Drosophila melanogaster: one gene and its partners. The protein of the gene in region 1 purifies or fractionates together with the protein of each later gene. This does not show direct contact. Each region holds a gene or a part of one and is shown on either strand. Other genes may lie near its edges.

Region 1 (3,989 bases):
CAAAGGCTCGCTCTCAATGCAGCCATCCTTGTTGATTAGCACAAACTCAACATTGACTACGTTGCGTCCTGAATTTGCGTTTCCATCTCCACATCCAAGATTTAGCTTTGGCTGACTTGAGGCCAGCAGATTGCCCGTTTTGCGGGAATAGAGTGGAAAAGCGCGAACCACCGCACAGGCGCTGGCGAATAGATTCTCTCGTTCGCAGACGAGCACCACGCTCTCCTCGGAAACGTTCAGCACATGGTTCTTTACCAGACGAGTGATGGCATGAGCCCGGGATGCCGTATTGTGTCGGGATGCCTTCAATGGCAGGGCAGCCACGGTGGCCACATCGAGATAGAGGGATACCTTATCGGTGGGCGCGGGATGCAGACAAGCGACGGCATTCAGGAAGGTCTCCTCGGTGACGCGCGGACTGAGTTTGCTCTCCAGATGACTGAACTTCAGTAGGTTTAGATGGCGCAGCTGGCCGATGATCAGGACCGGATGTGTCTGCGGATCACTGCAGCCTAGCGACTCGTTAAACTTTACGTCCGTGGCCATCTGTAAGAGAATGTGTGTGCGAATGAGTAAAGAATGGAATGGCTAGCCAAATCCCAGTGATAAGCCGCCGGTATTATCTTATCGGTGCTAATCTGGTGTTTAGCGCTCCAAGTGCCCCACTTGCTTATCAGTCGACGACTTTGCACCACAGGGGCGGTCAATGGATGCAGCCATCCATAAATCACGAGAGCCAAAACCGGCGAGATAAGCAGTGGCATTTGGGTTATGGGTAGGGCCATCTGGACAAACACAGGGGCGTTACTCATCGGTTGCAAGCGGATGCAACGCTGTAGGGGAAGTTTAAGAATAGCTGACCCATATTAGAATGGCTCAATTAAAGTAGCTCCATTGTGAAAAATACTGCAGTATAATTTTATAACTAAAATTCTAATAAAAAACAATCAATCAATAATTATGTTTACAACTAAAAAGCATTGGGTTCATAAAATGAAGCTTCAAAAGAAAAAAATTACCTCTAAAATATTTTAACTATAATAATCACCTAATATACATAAATATAAATTGTATTGCATTTATAATGAACAAATTAAGATAAATTGTAGTAGCAATATGAATTCTAATAATTTACATAACATTTTCTGAGTTTTAGCGAATATTAGAAAATCTTATAAAATCAAATAACGTTTTTTTTTACAAATTATTAATTTTAATATATTTTGGTACAATAACTTAACTAAGTAGTTAACATTTTCAACTTAAAGCCATCAATTTTCCAGCTTTACAGTCGCAAGGCAATAAAAACATAAACTACCGAAAAGATATCGTTCAGCACATATCTTTACGATGCTCCATAAACTCGCATGGGTTTTATAAGCACGATATCATTGTGCATAAAGCGATTTAAGTTTCTTAAAATCGCAAATGCCACATGACCTTGAATTCGGTGCAACAAGAACAACAAGTGGGTCGTTGACCGACTCGCAGCATTCGAAACCGAAAAGTGGATAAACATCTAATTTACCCATTTTCAATTGGATTTGACTGGACACTCGATATGTAGAAATATTATGCAAATTCTATATTCTCTATTTTTAGACTCTTTGTTCGCGATTTCTTCGTTTGCAAAGCGTTTTTTGCACATTTTCTGCCTTTTTATTCGCTCACCTTTTTGAAGCGGGCGCTGCTGTAGGTGCGAGCGAGATGGTTGCGTATTGCCTGGACGCAGAGCAGCAAACGCATGAAGTGCCTGCTTCAGAAATTGCACAAAAATTTGCCAAAAGTGCCGACGTTTTATTTTTATTTTATTTTGCTGCCAATTTGACTTGCAATTTTTTGCTTGCCGGCTAATAGAGATGTGACTTGCACGACGATAAGTCGATGTCAGCTATCGATAAGTGCAGAACCACTTTTTTCTTTCAGCCTGGCCACCCTGCTGGTGTCGTGGAAGTGTCATCCCTAATGAGAAGTACCACCACTAACTGGAAAGCAAAACAAGCGTCTGGAAAACGGCGCTTAGTTTTTAAAGATTTTAATTGATTGCAGTAAATTGAGTTTAAAATGGCAATTATTATGACTGAATCGAGTTACGAAAGGCGCGTAAAGGCTTTGTACGAAAAACAAATTCACATGGAAGCCCTCGAGGCGAAATTCATCAAAAAGGTCTTTAAATTCAACAGCAATTTGTGTGAGTTGGAATTTATCTCCATATATCTCCATTTCAATTGATATATTTCACTAAATATTTTAGTGGATGTCAAGGAAGCAGCTTCGCGCCATCAGCGGAAAGTGGGAAAGTTGCAAAAAGTGCTCATGGAGCGGCGGGAGGAGTTGGACAAGCGAGTTTCCTTCATAGAGGAACTTGATCGAGAACTGGAGGCCACCAAACTTCACAATTTGGCCATGAAAGATTGGTTTAAACAGCAGAAAATGCTGGCCAAACAGCGCAAAAACGAAATCATGGAAAGGTCAGGGATTAGGTCAAAGATAATCATATTAAGATTTTCTTAGCACGAATGGCTAGCTAATATTTTCCGGGCTCCAATGGGTTCGATCTTGTCCTTATTATACATAAAAATGACTATTCATATTGATTTTTAGTCCATCCAAAACTACTATTGGTACAAATATATGTATATGACAATAATGTATTGTCAACATTTATGGTCTTTACATGCGTACAAGTTGCAGTGAGAGACTAATCAAATACTTTATTTACTTTAACTAAATCTATTAGGAGCATCATCAAAGTCTATAAACTGCAAATAATAGATATAGTTGAGGTCGTGTTCCAAATAACTTATTTAGCTTACATACATAATTTATTTGCATAGCCTCACATGCGCTCTTATTTTTCAAACAAATCCGATTTTAATGCGGTCAGTTTTAAACTTAGTATACTATAATGAGAGCAATGTGTGTTTATTTGTTTTATTTTATAGCATTCACACGCTGTCGAAGACAACAAGAACCTATATAAATCAAGAAGCGCTGCCGGCACGTGTGAAGGGTGTCACTGTACTCCGTGGCGATAAACGCGACCAGTTGATACCCTTTGATCTGAAGGCGACCGATGTGGAAGGACTGGACTCACTGTGTCAGCATCTCGAGAGTCTAAATGTGGACGTGGCGCAGTGGCAGCAGCTTATCTCGCTGGCCATGGACATGGCTATGGAGTCACGTGCTCCCACTACTCCGCCCAAGGAAGCAGACAATTGCAAGTCTATAATCGAGATTGATCTCACATCGCCGATGAGCCACACCTGACTTCCGATTAACTGATTTACTTGGATTAGGGGGAAGACCCTTTTCCAATGGAGCACTTTATTTTAGCATTATAAATAGTTGGCTTCCAATAAAAGCTCAATTGGGAATTCATCTTAACGAATTAAGCATCTTATTATAGCAGTTTTTTAGCCATTTAAGTACTGCTTGTAATTGTTTAAGTGCAGTGTAAATTATACATATATCTCCCAAAATTTTTTTTTTTTTCTTTTTTCTGATATATCATCTTCACTGGAAGCTTAAAAATTTTTAGAGATATCGCCAAAGAAGAGATATCGCGAAAGGCTCCAGTTTAAGTAGTTCCAATTCAAACTTATTCAAATTAAAAACCAGTTATTGAATTTATTTTAAATCAAAAGTCTTCTTATCATATTTAACCAAATTTACAACTTTAGTGATAATTATATCATAAATTTGGTTTAATGAGTTCTCTATTACTATAAGGTTTTATATATATTTCAAATGTTTGGGTAATTTCCTTATAACTATATCAGAACAAGACCTGTTTTATTAAACACCTTTCTTTAAGATTTGTATGATTATCTGAGAGCTTTTGACATGGCGGCCGGTGTTAATCGAGAAATCTCGAAAGTCACAAGCGACTCAGAGTGCCACCGACTAACCGATCTATGAATAAACAGCGATCCATATAGATTGGCGCTGCTCAATTGCTATTGTCCGGCGAAAGTTAGAGCGACCTA
Region 2 (3,933 bases), on another chromosome or scaffold:
GATTTGACATCACTGTCGGGTGCCAACGGTATTTTGAAAGTATTTTTTCCTGTTCACTTGGGTATATTTCGACGGTACAGCTGCGGTCACACAATTAAAAGTGACTGGCATCATTTAGCAACAAAAAACGCGAATAGCGTCAAAAACATTGTTTTATCGCCGTTGGAATTAATAAAAGCACACAAAATGTCTGCCCCAGATAAGGAAAAGGAGAAAGAGAAGGAGGAGACCAACAACAAGAGCGAAGACTTGGGTCTCCTGGAGGAGGACGACGAGTTCGAAGAGTTTCCCGCCGAAGGTTGGACGCAATAATGTGGTGGTACATCGGCAGTTTCTAATCACTTTCATTGTAGATTTCCGCGTTGGCGACGACGAGGAAGAGCTAAATGTGTGGGAGGACAACTGGGACGACGACAACGTGGAGGACGACTTCAGCCAGCAGTTGAAGGCCCATTTGGAGAGCAAGAAAATGGAAACGTAAACCGGCACCGACCCCTTTGTTCAGTCCTAACCATAAAAACGAGCTGAGCTGTTTTGCATTAATAGAATAAAATCAGTATATTAAGTGGAATTCATCTGCCAGTTTTGTCCGAGAACCTCATGGATTTGCTCATTTAATATGGCATATAGCTGATCTTGCTCCAAATTTTGCTGGTCTAGCTCGATCAAGTGATTATTCAGATCCTCCAGACGTTTCTTGCGATCCTCAACATCGACCTGCAGCTTTTTGAGTTCATTTTGCACCTTGTGATTCTCGGCATCGTTTTCCTGGTTTCTTTCCTCGTACCGATGTGCACAAAGAGCGAGTTCCTGCTTCTTGGCCTCTGCATCCTGAAGGAGCTTCTGATAATTAACTTTACAGGTGGGCAACTGCTTTTCCACTGCCTCCAGCTGCTTGAAGCTCTCTTTGTAATCATCCACCTTGCACAGCGAAAGCACAGCCGTGGCCTTCTCCAAAGCGGTGGCTATATGTTGACTGTTTTCGATCATCCGGCGATGTTCATTCGTCACCTGTTTTTTACTGGCCAGCTCCGTCTTGCAGCTCTCGACATGCGACGATGCGCTCTTAATTTTCCTACAATGTTTGACATTAAAATAAGCACAGAATCTAGGCTTGCCCGACAGCACTTACTCTCGCAGCTCTGTCACTTGACTGTCCTCCACCACTAGCTGTTCCCAGTGACCGATGCGTTTGTCCAGCTCACCCTGCTGCTGCTCAATGAGTTCCAGAGTGTTTTCATGCTCGCTACAGGACTTCTTCAAAGGTAGAAGCTTTGCTTGAGTATCCTGCAAATCTTTCTTGAGTTTGTTTATGGCCACTTCGCAATCCTTCGTCTTCTGGCTGCATTGCTCCAGCTGTTGACTTTTGGCCTTCACCTCGGCGGTCAGCGAATCCTTTAGCTTAATGGCCTCCTCTACAGGTCCCAGCACCTTCTTTTTGAACACCTTGTAGTAGGCCAGATGGTTGAAAAGGTAGCTCAGCGTGGCGAGCGTTTTTTTAACAGCTAATAGCCAAAGAATTGTTTAATAATAATTGCTTATTGTAAGACCGGCTGCCGGCTCACCTGGTTTAATTATGTCCATATAGGTGTACGTCTTGTTGGGAAAGCTGATCTGGACGATGCGCTCCACTTGGCGGCACACTCGGATAAGAAAGACGCGCGCCTCCCGCGACGAGTGACCGAGTTCGGTGCCAATCTTATAGGGCGGCTCCAGGCGAAAGCCGAAACTCCGCAGATAGTGCACCATGATCTTGGTGACAATGGGCTCGGTGGGATTGGCCAAGTCGCTTTGGCAGATATTGATGTCGGGCATCAGGCAGTTGCCCTGGTCCATTACCCTTTCAATTTCGACTGATAACGCCATTCAATCCAGAGTTTTAATTTTTAATGGCAGTTTTTGAATGGAACGCCGCTAAGGGATCAGATTGATGTGACCAAAGCTTGCTAGCCCCAAAAAACCACTAAAATACTAACTCAGAATTTATGTGGTTTTCACACCTATAGTCCTACAGCAGATTCTCGGGTTTTTTTATCCGGTTTTCTTTCCCGGCAGCTAGAAAATACTGCATTTGTTCAGCGCAAACTTAAAAAGTAACGGAAAATCTGGCTAAAGTTACTAAGTTACATTTTTTATTGGTGAGTGAAAACTCTGGCTTCCTCCAGCGCTGCAAAAGATGATGCTAAAAATCTGATATGCCCGTACGGGGTTTTCTCCAAAACTTGGCCAAAAAAGGTGGCACAGCGAAAATAAAGACTGTTTTGTACTGCTAATAAACATACCTAACTATCCCTATCACTAGTTTTTTGATTTTCCAAAAATAAAATTTTTACAAAATTTCGCATTTTTGATAAGGGGTACCCTCATCAAAATTTGCAAAAAATTGAAGCCTCTTGGATCTTTCAGGTTTCAACACATATGGATAGGGAATTAAGTTACGAACTCAACGAGATATGACATTCCAGTTTTGGACAACTATTCTTATTGCTATTGCAAAAAACTCGTTATTTTTGTAACCAAAAAGGAACGAAAAGAAATTTTGCCAAAAATCGTATATTTCCAATCGCTGATTTCTCCATAACTTGGCCAAAAAAGGTGGTACAGTGAAAATAAATACTGTTTTGTACTGCTAATAAACATACCTAACTATCCCTATCACTAGTTTTTTGATTTTCCAAAAATAAAATTTTTACAAAATTTCGCATTTTTGATAAGGGGTACCCTCATCAAAATTTGCAAAAAATTGAAGCCTCTTGGATCTTTCAGGTTTCAACACATATGGATAGGGAATTAAGTTACGAATTCAACGAGATATGACATTCCAGTTTTGGACAACTATTCTTATTGCTATTGCAAAAAAACTCGTTATTTTTGTAACCAAAAAGGAACGAAAAGAAATTTTGTCAAAAATCGTATATTTCCAATCGCTGATTTCTCCATAACTTGGCCAAAAAAGGTGGTACAGTGAAAATAAATACTGTTTTGTACTGCTAATAAACATACCTAACTATCCCTATCACTAGTTTTTTGATTTTCCAAAAATAAAATTTTTACAAAATTTCGCATTTTTGATAAGGGGTACCCTCATCAAAATTTGCAAAAAATTGAAGCCTCTTGGATCTTTCAGGTTTCAACACATATGGATAGGGAATTAAGTTACGAATTCAACGAGATATGACATTCCAGTTTTGGACAACTATTCTTATTGCTATTGCAAAAAAACTCGTTATTTTTGTAACCAAAAAGGAACGAAAAGAAATTTTGTCAAAAATCGTATATTTCCAATCGCTGATTTCTCCATAACTTGGCCAAAAAGGTGGCACAGCGAAAATAAAGACTGTTTTGTACTGCTAATAAACATACCTAACTATCCCTATCACTAGTTTTTTGATTTTCCAAAAATAAAATTTTTACAAAATTTCGCATTTTTGATAAGGGGTACCCTCATCAAAATTTGCAAAAAATTGAAGCCTCTTGGATCTTTCAGGTTTCAACACATATGGATAGGGAATTAAGTTACGAATTCAACGAGATATGACATTCCAGTTTTGGACAACTATTCTTATTGCTATTGCAAAAAAACTCGTTATTTTTGTAACGAAAAAGGAACGAAGAGAAATTTTGTCGAAAATCGTATATTTCCAATCGCTCATTTCTCCAAAACTTGGCCAAAAAAGGTGTCACAGCTAAACTAATGACTGCTAATAAATATAACTAACTATCCCTATCACTATTTTTATGATTTTCCTAAAACGAAATTTTAACACATTTTCGATAAGGGGTGTAAAACTGGGCGACACATTTGATACATGTAACAATGAACTGGGTGAAACATAAAGGCGTAAGGTTTGAAGTTATCTGACTTAAGCACTTAAATAAATAGTTAAAAACATAAATAACTGTGCTCTTTGATTTTGTTAAATTTGTTAATGG
Region 3 (3,319 bases), on another chromosome or scaffold:
GCAATTCAGTTTTCAGCTGCAAGGAGCGGTGCAGCGACCGCTGCTTCTCCGCTACCATGGAACAGAATTGCTCGATCTCGGCCAGCTGCCGCCAGCAGCGGTTGCACAGGCACGTGGACACCACGTCGTTTTCCGCCAACTGAAAGCGAACAATTCAATCATTAGAAAAAAACATCTTTTTGGGGTAGAAAAGTCCAAATCCACTCACCACCAGCAGCAGATGTCGCTCGATCAGCTCGGCCAGCTGGCGATGTGCCGGTTGTCCCATTGGCGGTTCCTGGCCGAAAATGGGCACCCCGTGCTCAGCATCCTCCAGGCAGAGTCGGCATATCATCTCATAAAAGGAAGGACACAAATCCCGAGTCGAATCGCGTTAAATGCAGCTGTTTTTGATTCGTTGCTGAGTTTTGTTATGTGAGCGTTACCGGACCGCGAAAAGAGACCTCCGCGACTGATTGTGCAAACACAAGAAAATAGGCTAGAAAAAATAGCTAAGAAGATAACCAACACATTGGTTCAATATTTTGTGACTAAAATTAATCAATTTAAATGCTTTTTTTGTATAAACTTTATTGCGGTAAGGTTAGTTTATTTCTGAGATGTATGCTTTTTGAAAGCTCTGAACTTTGACAACTTCCGCCTGACATATTGAGGATATCAATTGATGTCACATAAACTGCGACGAAAGATTCATTTCTTGCTGGTTGCTTGATGATGGCTGACGCATTGGCTTCGGCGGCGGTATTGGTCTCTCCTTGGGCTTGGAAATAGGCTCCTTAATAACCAATAAATCAGATTCGGATCCGTGCAGCAGATCCATATTTAAATCGATATTTTCTCCCAAAACCTCGTTGATGGTATCAGATAAGTTACCCATCTGTTTCCGCTTCTCTTCCAACTGCCTTTTGGCTATGGCATCGTTGACCAGATCCTCGATGCTGGGCGTTATTTGGAGGGCAGGACGATGACCGCTGGGCAGGAGATAGCGATCTGCCAAAACCATCAAATGGCTAAGAACGGAGCAAACTTGTTGCCACACCAATTCGCCCCATTCCAAGGTGATACGTCCCAGGACCTGGTCGAAGGATTCGTTACAGCTAAAGGATCGCAGGAACTCCTCGTAGATCACCTCACTGCCGCCGCCCACAGAGGGCAACATCCAGAACAGGAGAAGCACCTTGAACTCACTTAGCAATGGAATAAATGCCAGCAGACCCGCTGTGAAATAATCAAAGGCCACATAAACTCCATAGGCAATCCAGTAGATTAACCATCCGCGAAGATCATTGACGCTACAATTCTGACTTTTCAGGATCTTGTAGGACGCGAATGCTGGATAGAAACAGCCCACCAGAAGGGACAGTATGTGTATCACGATCGCATAAATCATTATTTGGAAATTTTGGATAATCTTAAAATTTTGGATTTTGAGAAAGTATATATATAGCTGTGTATTCGGTTCTCGATTTTGTTCATTTGGTTTGACTACTTGAACAAATACAATAAATTGAAATGTGATTCTAAACGCAAGGCCTGCTTAGCATTCATAAAATGACTTATGCCCTATAACCCTTTTCCCCTTTTTTAGTTCAGCTTTTTTTCAATGAGTATATATCTTTTTATTAATATTAAAAGTGCAATTTTTTATATCGTATATTTTAATTTGTATAAAAGGTTTTGGCTTGAAAAGAGCCAGAGCGAATTACGTTCAAAAGATGTGGCATCACTGGATCAGCGATGGGTGTTGGCAAGCGTTTACGGATTTAAAAACTGAAAACAAACGAAGCGACGCGATGGAGCCAGCCGAAAGTCCAGAAAAATTAATGAAATTCGTACGCCGCAGTGACGTACTGGAATACGTGGGCAACACGAGTGCCGTCGATCTATCGAGCGGTGATCTCTCCGACATCGATCTCAAGGACGTGCCGGCCCAACTGGAGGCCACTTTGAAACCGCGTCGCTATGAAGCAAGCACTTTGTTTAACATTGACCTGGACGATAGTAAGTGCAATCCTTGTGGTTAATTAAATTGCCATTTACTTAACGTACAGACTTTCAGTCTGGGATCCTAGCTGTCAGGAGGACGAGGTGCAGCAGTACAAGGAGCGCGCCCAGAAGGAGCAGCAAAAGTTCTTCGACTTTGTAATGCATGCGGCACTGGACACGGACAATCGCAAGGTTAGCTTCAAGCCAAACAAGGAGCAGCAGCGTTACCTAGATCAGGGACCCAATTTGCAAAACTTCGTGCGAAGCTCGTTGGCTTTCACAAACGCGGCCATCCGATTTCAGGCGGAGCACGAGGACATGATGGAGCTGCAGTGCAATATGGACGATCACTACCTATTCATGCGGAACACCATGATCAACAACGCTATACACCAGAATATGGCCAACCAACGGTGACCCTAAGCTATGCATAAATATACATATGTGAATTGTAGATATTGATAAATTAAATTAAGACTCAGAGATTGTAAGACGGTTTGCTTTTGGCTTATACAGTATAATTCGCTTAGCTGCCTCGAGTACTTTGCACAATGCCTCGATGCAGGTAACTTAAAAATGCAGCTAACTTAATTTTTTTTTTTCTATTTTCTATTTTCTATTCACACAAAAAAATGGAAAAATAATGCAGATATCTTGCCGATGCAGCTAACTATCGATGCAGCTAAGCGAATTATACTGTATTTATTTCTACCCTAATATGTAACTCCCTAAGTTGCACTTCTGATGATGGCTGCCTTTAAGTCTGACCGAAAGAAATGAAAACCGATCAAACGTCTTGAAAACATTGTCTGTATGTAAACTGAAGTTAACAAAGGTTTCGTTTTATGTTCTGGTCTACTCAGGCGTTAGGTCTACTTTAAATTGTGTGTATATTTGTGAGCTGCTTATTCCTTGTTCCAGGCTGCCAGGTATTTCATGAGGTCCGTGAGACTCTCGAAATCGGTGCGGCTGGCTGGTGGTTCGTCCTTGGTGATTCTTGGCAGTGCATTGCCCATCTTGAGGCGGAACTCCTGGAACTGCGAACGAAACGAAAGATTTAAAGCGAAATTCATTGAACAAATCGGAGGCATGCTCACATCCTTGGCTCCGGATAGCTTCCAGAAGCCGTAGCAGAAGGCGCCGGTGCCCATCACGGCGTACAGTGTGCCCCAGCCCAGCGCCCGCAGGGCCAGGGTGGCGCCCTCGTCCATCAGGATCATGCCTTGCCGCGTTCCAGCCTGCTGGAGGACCTTGCTATCCGTCTTCTTGGCGGTGGCCAGCGTGCGCGAGAAGCCGAACAGAGCGGACACCCCGCCCACCAAACCCAGAAAGG
Region 4 (4,511 bases), on another chromosome or scaffold:
CTATGAAGCACACTCCATACCGGCTACAAGTTCCCTCATCCTTCTCCACTATGGCCAACATATAGTTGGGCTGATGATTCGGCCCGATCTTGCACTGTGAGCCAAAGACCTGGGTGCCACGATTGGTGATCTGGCAGATCTCGCGGGCCACCACTTTGTCGAACTTGGTGGCCTTGATCCGCTTGCAGCGCTCAGTCATCATATCTGGAGTTTCCGTTTGCTCAACGCGAGCCACCTAAAGAAAAACTTGTATTAGTTTTACTGGGAAAAGGAGCTATCCTTGGACAAATTACCTTGAAGCCCCTGTCTACGAGAATGGTGGACATCTTGTCGAAGGATATCTCCGGGAAACCGGAGTGAGCAAACTCGCCGCGCATGTAAGTGAAGCCCAGCTCGTTGACGCCCACATCCGCATCCATGTGATACAGTTCATAGAACTTGCCGACTTTAAAAAACAAGACGCAGTCATAGTTGTCCGACTTAAGGACCCACCACTGTCGAACTCCCGGCGACAGGCCATTGAGGAACTTCTCCGGCACATGCAAGGTGCTCTTATCGTAGTCCGGATGATCTGGACGTCTTCCCTCCTTGTCCTTGATCTTGTCCGGTTGCAGGAACTCTAGTTTCTGGTGCGGCCAAACAACGGGCTCATCCAGATTGGACGTGTTGGTCACGATATCATCGTAGGAAGCATCCTGCTTGGCATTGCTCTGCAGGTTCTTCAGCTTTTCTTGAAAGGTTGCACCCTCGGCCAACTGGATGGTCGACTCTAGCTTGACCTTCTTGCTCGATGGCTCATTGTTATTGTTGTTATTCAGAATCTTAGACTTTTTGCGCGATTTCTTGGGTGTCGGACTGTCCACGGACATGTCGTTCTCGCTAGGCGACACCTCCTCCGCGCCGCTGCTAACGCTATCATCGCTGGCTTCATTCTCATCCGGTTCGTAGTCGGAGGCGCAATCGGAGAAGTCGTCCTCCGACTTGGTTACCTCCATTTCCGGCTCACTGTCCGATTCCGGCTGAACGATGCGCTTCCGCTTGCGTTGACCACTGGCCGGCTCATCGTCGGAAATGGGCAACTTCCTCTTGGCCGCCGGCTTGGAAGCCTCTTTCTTACCATCCTTCACTTTTGGCTGCTGGTTCTGGAGATTCTCCTTTTCGCTCTTGGATGCATCGGGATCTGTTTTCACGCTAGGAGTCAATTTCTTTTTGTCGAAAGCTGGCGACTTGGAAAAGTAATTTAGTAGCGTGTTTGTGGGCGTCCCGCCCACGCTGGTGTTTAACTTCTTGGACATGACAATGGCCTAGAAACGTCTGCCAGGTTACTCAAAAAACCAGGATGCAGACGCTGCGATTGTGCGCCAAAACCAAAAAATATTCTGTCAAATTGTGGCTTAATAATACCGAAATAGTAGCTTGACTATTTAGTATATTTAGGGAACTCGTGCCCGTTGGAATTTTCGAATACCACTGAGGAGATTTTATTTTTTCGTTACAATTTGATGCTTCTTATATAATAAGTCATTTTTTTTCATTTTTGATCTGTGTTTATCTAGGCTTTGTTGTCCCAAAATAAATAAAGAGTGATAGTTAAGAATTAAGCAAAACAATTGATAGCCATACCTATATTTTCATCAACCTTATATTTTCAACCATATTTTCAATTCCTTTACTTTTAGATACAGAATTCTAATTAAGCAGGAAAATCGAAACTTTCCAGAATAATAACAAGAGTTATGATATTGGATCGTTCTGTTCATGAAATGTTTATTGAATTTGGTCAAATTGATCAATTAAAATCCAGTGGAATAGCCTTATGGTATTCTTTAAATGAATACCCTATATATTTCATGCTAATACTTAGTATTTTTTCAATGAACCGCATGGTATTCTAAGGCGGCTGAGCAACGGTCACTTCAATTCCAAAACAAACTTAATTTCACGAGATCGCAAAATAAACTTTTGAAATAAGCCAAAATGTCGCTAGCCGATGAGCTTTTAGCCGATCTCGAGGAAGACAATGACAATGAGCTGGAGGAGGAGGATTCGGAGATGGCCAGTGCAGAGGACGAGAGCGTAAGGAACCAAAGCAAATGTTGATCAGACCTAATGATTCCCCTCCCACAAAACAGTTGCTGGCGGAGAAGCTGGCTAAGCCGGCTCCCAATCTGATGGACGTGGATGTAACCGTGCAGTCGGTGCGGGAACTGTGCAAGCTGCGCGACTCTGAGCGCCTGAAGAACACGCTGCAGCAGATCGAGCACTATGCCAGTCGCCAGAGAACTGCAGCCGAAATGCTGGGATCCGTAGAATCCGATCCAGAGTACTGCCTCATCGTGGACGCTAATGCCATAGCTGTGGACATTGACAACGAGATCTCCATTGTGCACAAGTTCACCAAGGAGAAGTATCAGAAGCGATTCCCCGAATTGGACTCCCTGATCGTGGGTGAAATCGAGTACTTGCTGGCGGTCAAGGAGCTGGGCAACGACCTGGACCAGGTCAAAAATAACGAGAAGCTGCAGGCTATTCTCACGCAGGCCACCATTATGATTGTGTCAGTCACGGCGTCCACCACACAGGGGTAAGTTATTTGAACGGTGTAACCCAAAATAACATGTCACTGAATCCCATTCCCTTTCGCAGAACCATGCTGACACCGGCGGAGAAGGCAAAGATCGACGAGGCCTGCGAAATGGCCATCGAACTGAATAACTTCAAGTCCAAGATCTACGAGTATGTGGAAAGTCGCATGACCTTCATAGCCCCAAATCTTTCCATGATTGTTGGAGCATCGACGGCGGCTAAACTCTTGGGCATTGCTGGTGGCCTTTCCAAATTATCCAAAATGCCGGCCTGCAATGTTCAGGTGTTGGGTGCACAAAAGAAAACCCTCTCGGGCTTCTCACAAACGCAGATGTTGCCGCACACTGGCTATGTGTACTACTCACAGATTGTGCAGGATACTGCGCCAGATCTGCGACGCAAGGCAGCTCGCTTGGTGGCCGCCAAGTCCGTGCTGGCTGCTCGTGTTGATGCCTGTCATGAGAGTGTCCACGGGGAGATTGGACTGCGCTTCAAGGAGGATGTGGAAAAGAAGCTGGACAAGCTGCAGGAGCCGCCGCCGGTGAAGTTCATAAAGCCGCTGCCCAAACCCATCGAGGGAAGCAAGAAGAAGCGAGGAGGCAAACGCGTGCGCAAGATGAAGGAACGATATGCGCTGACAGAGTTCCGCAAGCAAGCGAACCGCATGAATTTCGGAGACGTAAGTTTCTGGCTTAAAAATATAATGGTTATGTATTAATCTTTGAACTTTTCTTTCAGATCGAAGAGGATGCCTACCAAGGAGATCTGGGCTATTCACGCGGCACCATCGGCAAAACTGGCACCGGCCGCATCCGATTGCCCCAGGTGGATGAGAAGACCAAGGTGCGCATTAGCAAAACGTTGCACAAGAATCTGCAGAAACAGCAGGTGTACGGCGGCAACACCACGGTCAAACGCCAAATCTCCGGAACGGCATCCAGTGTGGCCTTTACGCCACTGCAAGGTCTAGAGATTGTGAATCCGCAGGCGGCGGAGCGTTCGCAGACGGAGGCCAATGCCAAATACTTTTCAAACACATCCGGATTCATGTCAGTGGGACAGCGGACCACTTAAGAGAACAGCTCTATCCTTATTTTCTATAAAATTAAGCACTTTTATTTGGAGATTTGTCGAATGTATATTGAGTTAGGCGTAGTAAAGCTGCATAAGAGATTCGAATTGTTGTTAGCTGAGCTTGCCGACTTCCAGTTTCCGTTGAATGGCCTCCCACGAGTTGTTCAGCAGCACGGCGAGAATGCCGGCCACCGTGAACACGCCTCCGATGATGGAACAGCAATTCGTGGCGAAGTGGCCAAATGAGCTGGGAATACACAACACAACCAATAAAACTTGTAAAATTAACCATTAGCTTTGTGGCTTACTGACCTGTGTCTCTCCGCATATTTCACCATCAGTGGCGAGAGCTCGTAGCTGAAGAATATCCCCGGCATTCCGCGCTCGCGATCTGAAAGATCTTTTCGGTATCGCGTGACGGAGAATTGATTCGTGTATATGGGCTCGCCGTCGCTGTTTCCTCGCATATATAATGTGGGAACAATTTTTAAATAGTAATTGAACATTTCACTTTTGGTTTCTGCAAAAAGAGGAGAGCAGATTTTCTAGTTTACTTCATTTGTCGTTGATAAATGTATTTAATTTGGTAAGGTAATTACGAATTAAACTTCATGCTTCTAAAAACAGGTATTTCACAATTCGAACAAATGAGTATATTTTTTCCAATTTAAAAAATGAAAATGCCCCACACAACAGACCTCCGAAGTTTCCCAGAAATTCTTCGAGGAGTAAAATATAAATTAAAATGGATGCCTGTGCTTAAATAACTTAGTTTTTTTTTATTTCAGTCTTAAGTATGCTTTTTAATAATATTAATAAATAAAGAATATAAATTGATTTTAAAGCACCCG

Evidence for each region.
Region 2: the proteins of Spc25 (region 1) and Nuf2 purify together in Drosophila melanogaster (affinity purification with mass spectrometry; 2 studies listed by BioGRID). This does not show direct contact.
Region 3: the proteins of Spc25 (region 1) and Kmn1 purify together in Drosophila melanogaster (affinity purification with mass spectrometry, with the first as the bait; 2 studies listed by BioGRID). This does not show direct contact.
Region 4: the proteins of Spc25 (region 1) and Prp31 purify together in Drosophila melanogaster (affinity purification with western blotting, with the first as the bait; one study listed by BioGRID). This does not show direct contact.

What each region holds. Positions count from the first base shown.
Region 1 is NT_033777.3:12,959,772-12,963,760, forward strand, and holds Spc25 (Spc25), read left to right. Parts: upstream 1-1,973; 5' UTR 1,974-2,064; coding exon 2,065-2,191; intron 2,192-2,254; coding exon 2,255-2,471; intron 2,472-2,945; coding exon 2,946-3,270; 3' UTR 3,271-3,478; downstream 3,479-3,989. Other genes in the region: grsm (granny smith), read right to left, coding at 1-546. UniProt on the Drosophila melanogaster protein: Acts as a component of the essential kinetochore-associated Ndc80 complex, which is required for chromosome segregation and spindle checkpoint activity during meiosis and mitosis.
Region 2 is NT_033779.5:7,063,900-7,067,832, forward strand, and holds Nuf2 (Nuf2), read right to left. Parts: upstream 1,939-3,933; 5' UTR 1,867-1,938; coding exon 1,566-1,866; intron 1,506-1,565; coding exon 1,133-1,505; intron 1,076-1,132; coding exon 562-1,075; 3' UTR 532-561; downstream 1-531. Other genes in the region: Sem1 (suppressor of exocyst mutations 1), read left to right, coding at 187-298, 354-481.
Region 3 is NC_004354.4:11,570,873-11,574,191, reverse strand, and holds Kmn1 (kinetochore Mis12-Ndc80 network component 1), read left to right. Parts: upstream 1-1,749; 5' UTR 1,750-1,793; coding exon 1,794-2,001; intron 2,002-2,059; coding exon 2,060-2,403; 3' UTR 2,404-2,809; downstream 2,810-3,319. Other genes in the region: CG11696 (uncharacterized protein), read right to left, coding at 1-139, 209-334; Reepl1 (receptor accessory protein like 1), read right to left, coding at 668-1,390; CG11699 (uncharacterized protein), read right to left, coding at 2,892-3,023, 3,084-3,319.
Region 4 is NT_037436.4:15,157,193-15,161,703, forward strand, and holds Prp31 (Pre-mRNA processing factor 31), read left to right. Parts: upstream 1-1,907; 5' UTR 1,908-1,977; coding exon 1,978-2,076; intron 2,077-2,132; coding exon 2,133-2,584; intron 2,585-2,646; coding exon 2,647-3,265; intron 3,266-3,324; coding exon 3,325-3,660; 3' UTR 3,661-3,771; coding exon of another isoform or gene 3,772-3,907; 3' UTR 3,908-3,946; downstream 3,947-4,511. Other genes in the region: Msh6, read right to left, coding at 1-235, 294-1,295; CG7011 (uncharacterized protein), read right to left, coding at 3,772-3,907, 3,973-4,180.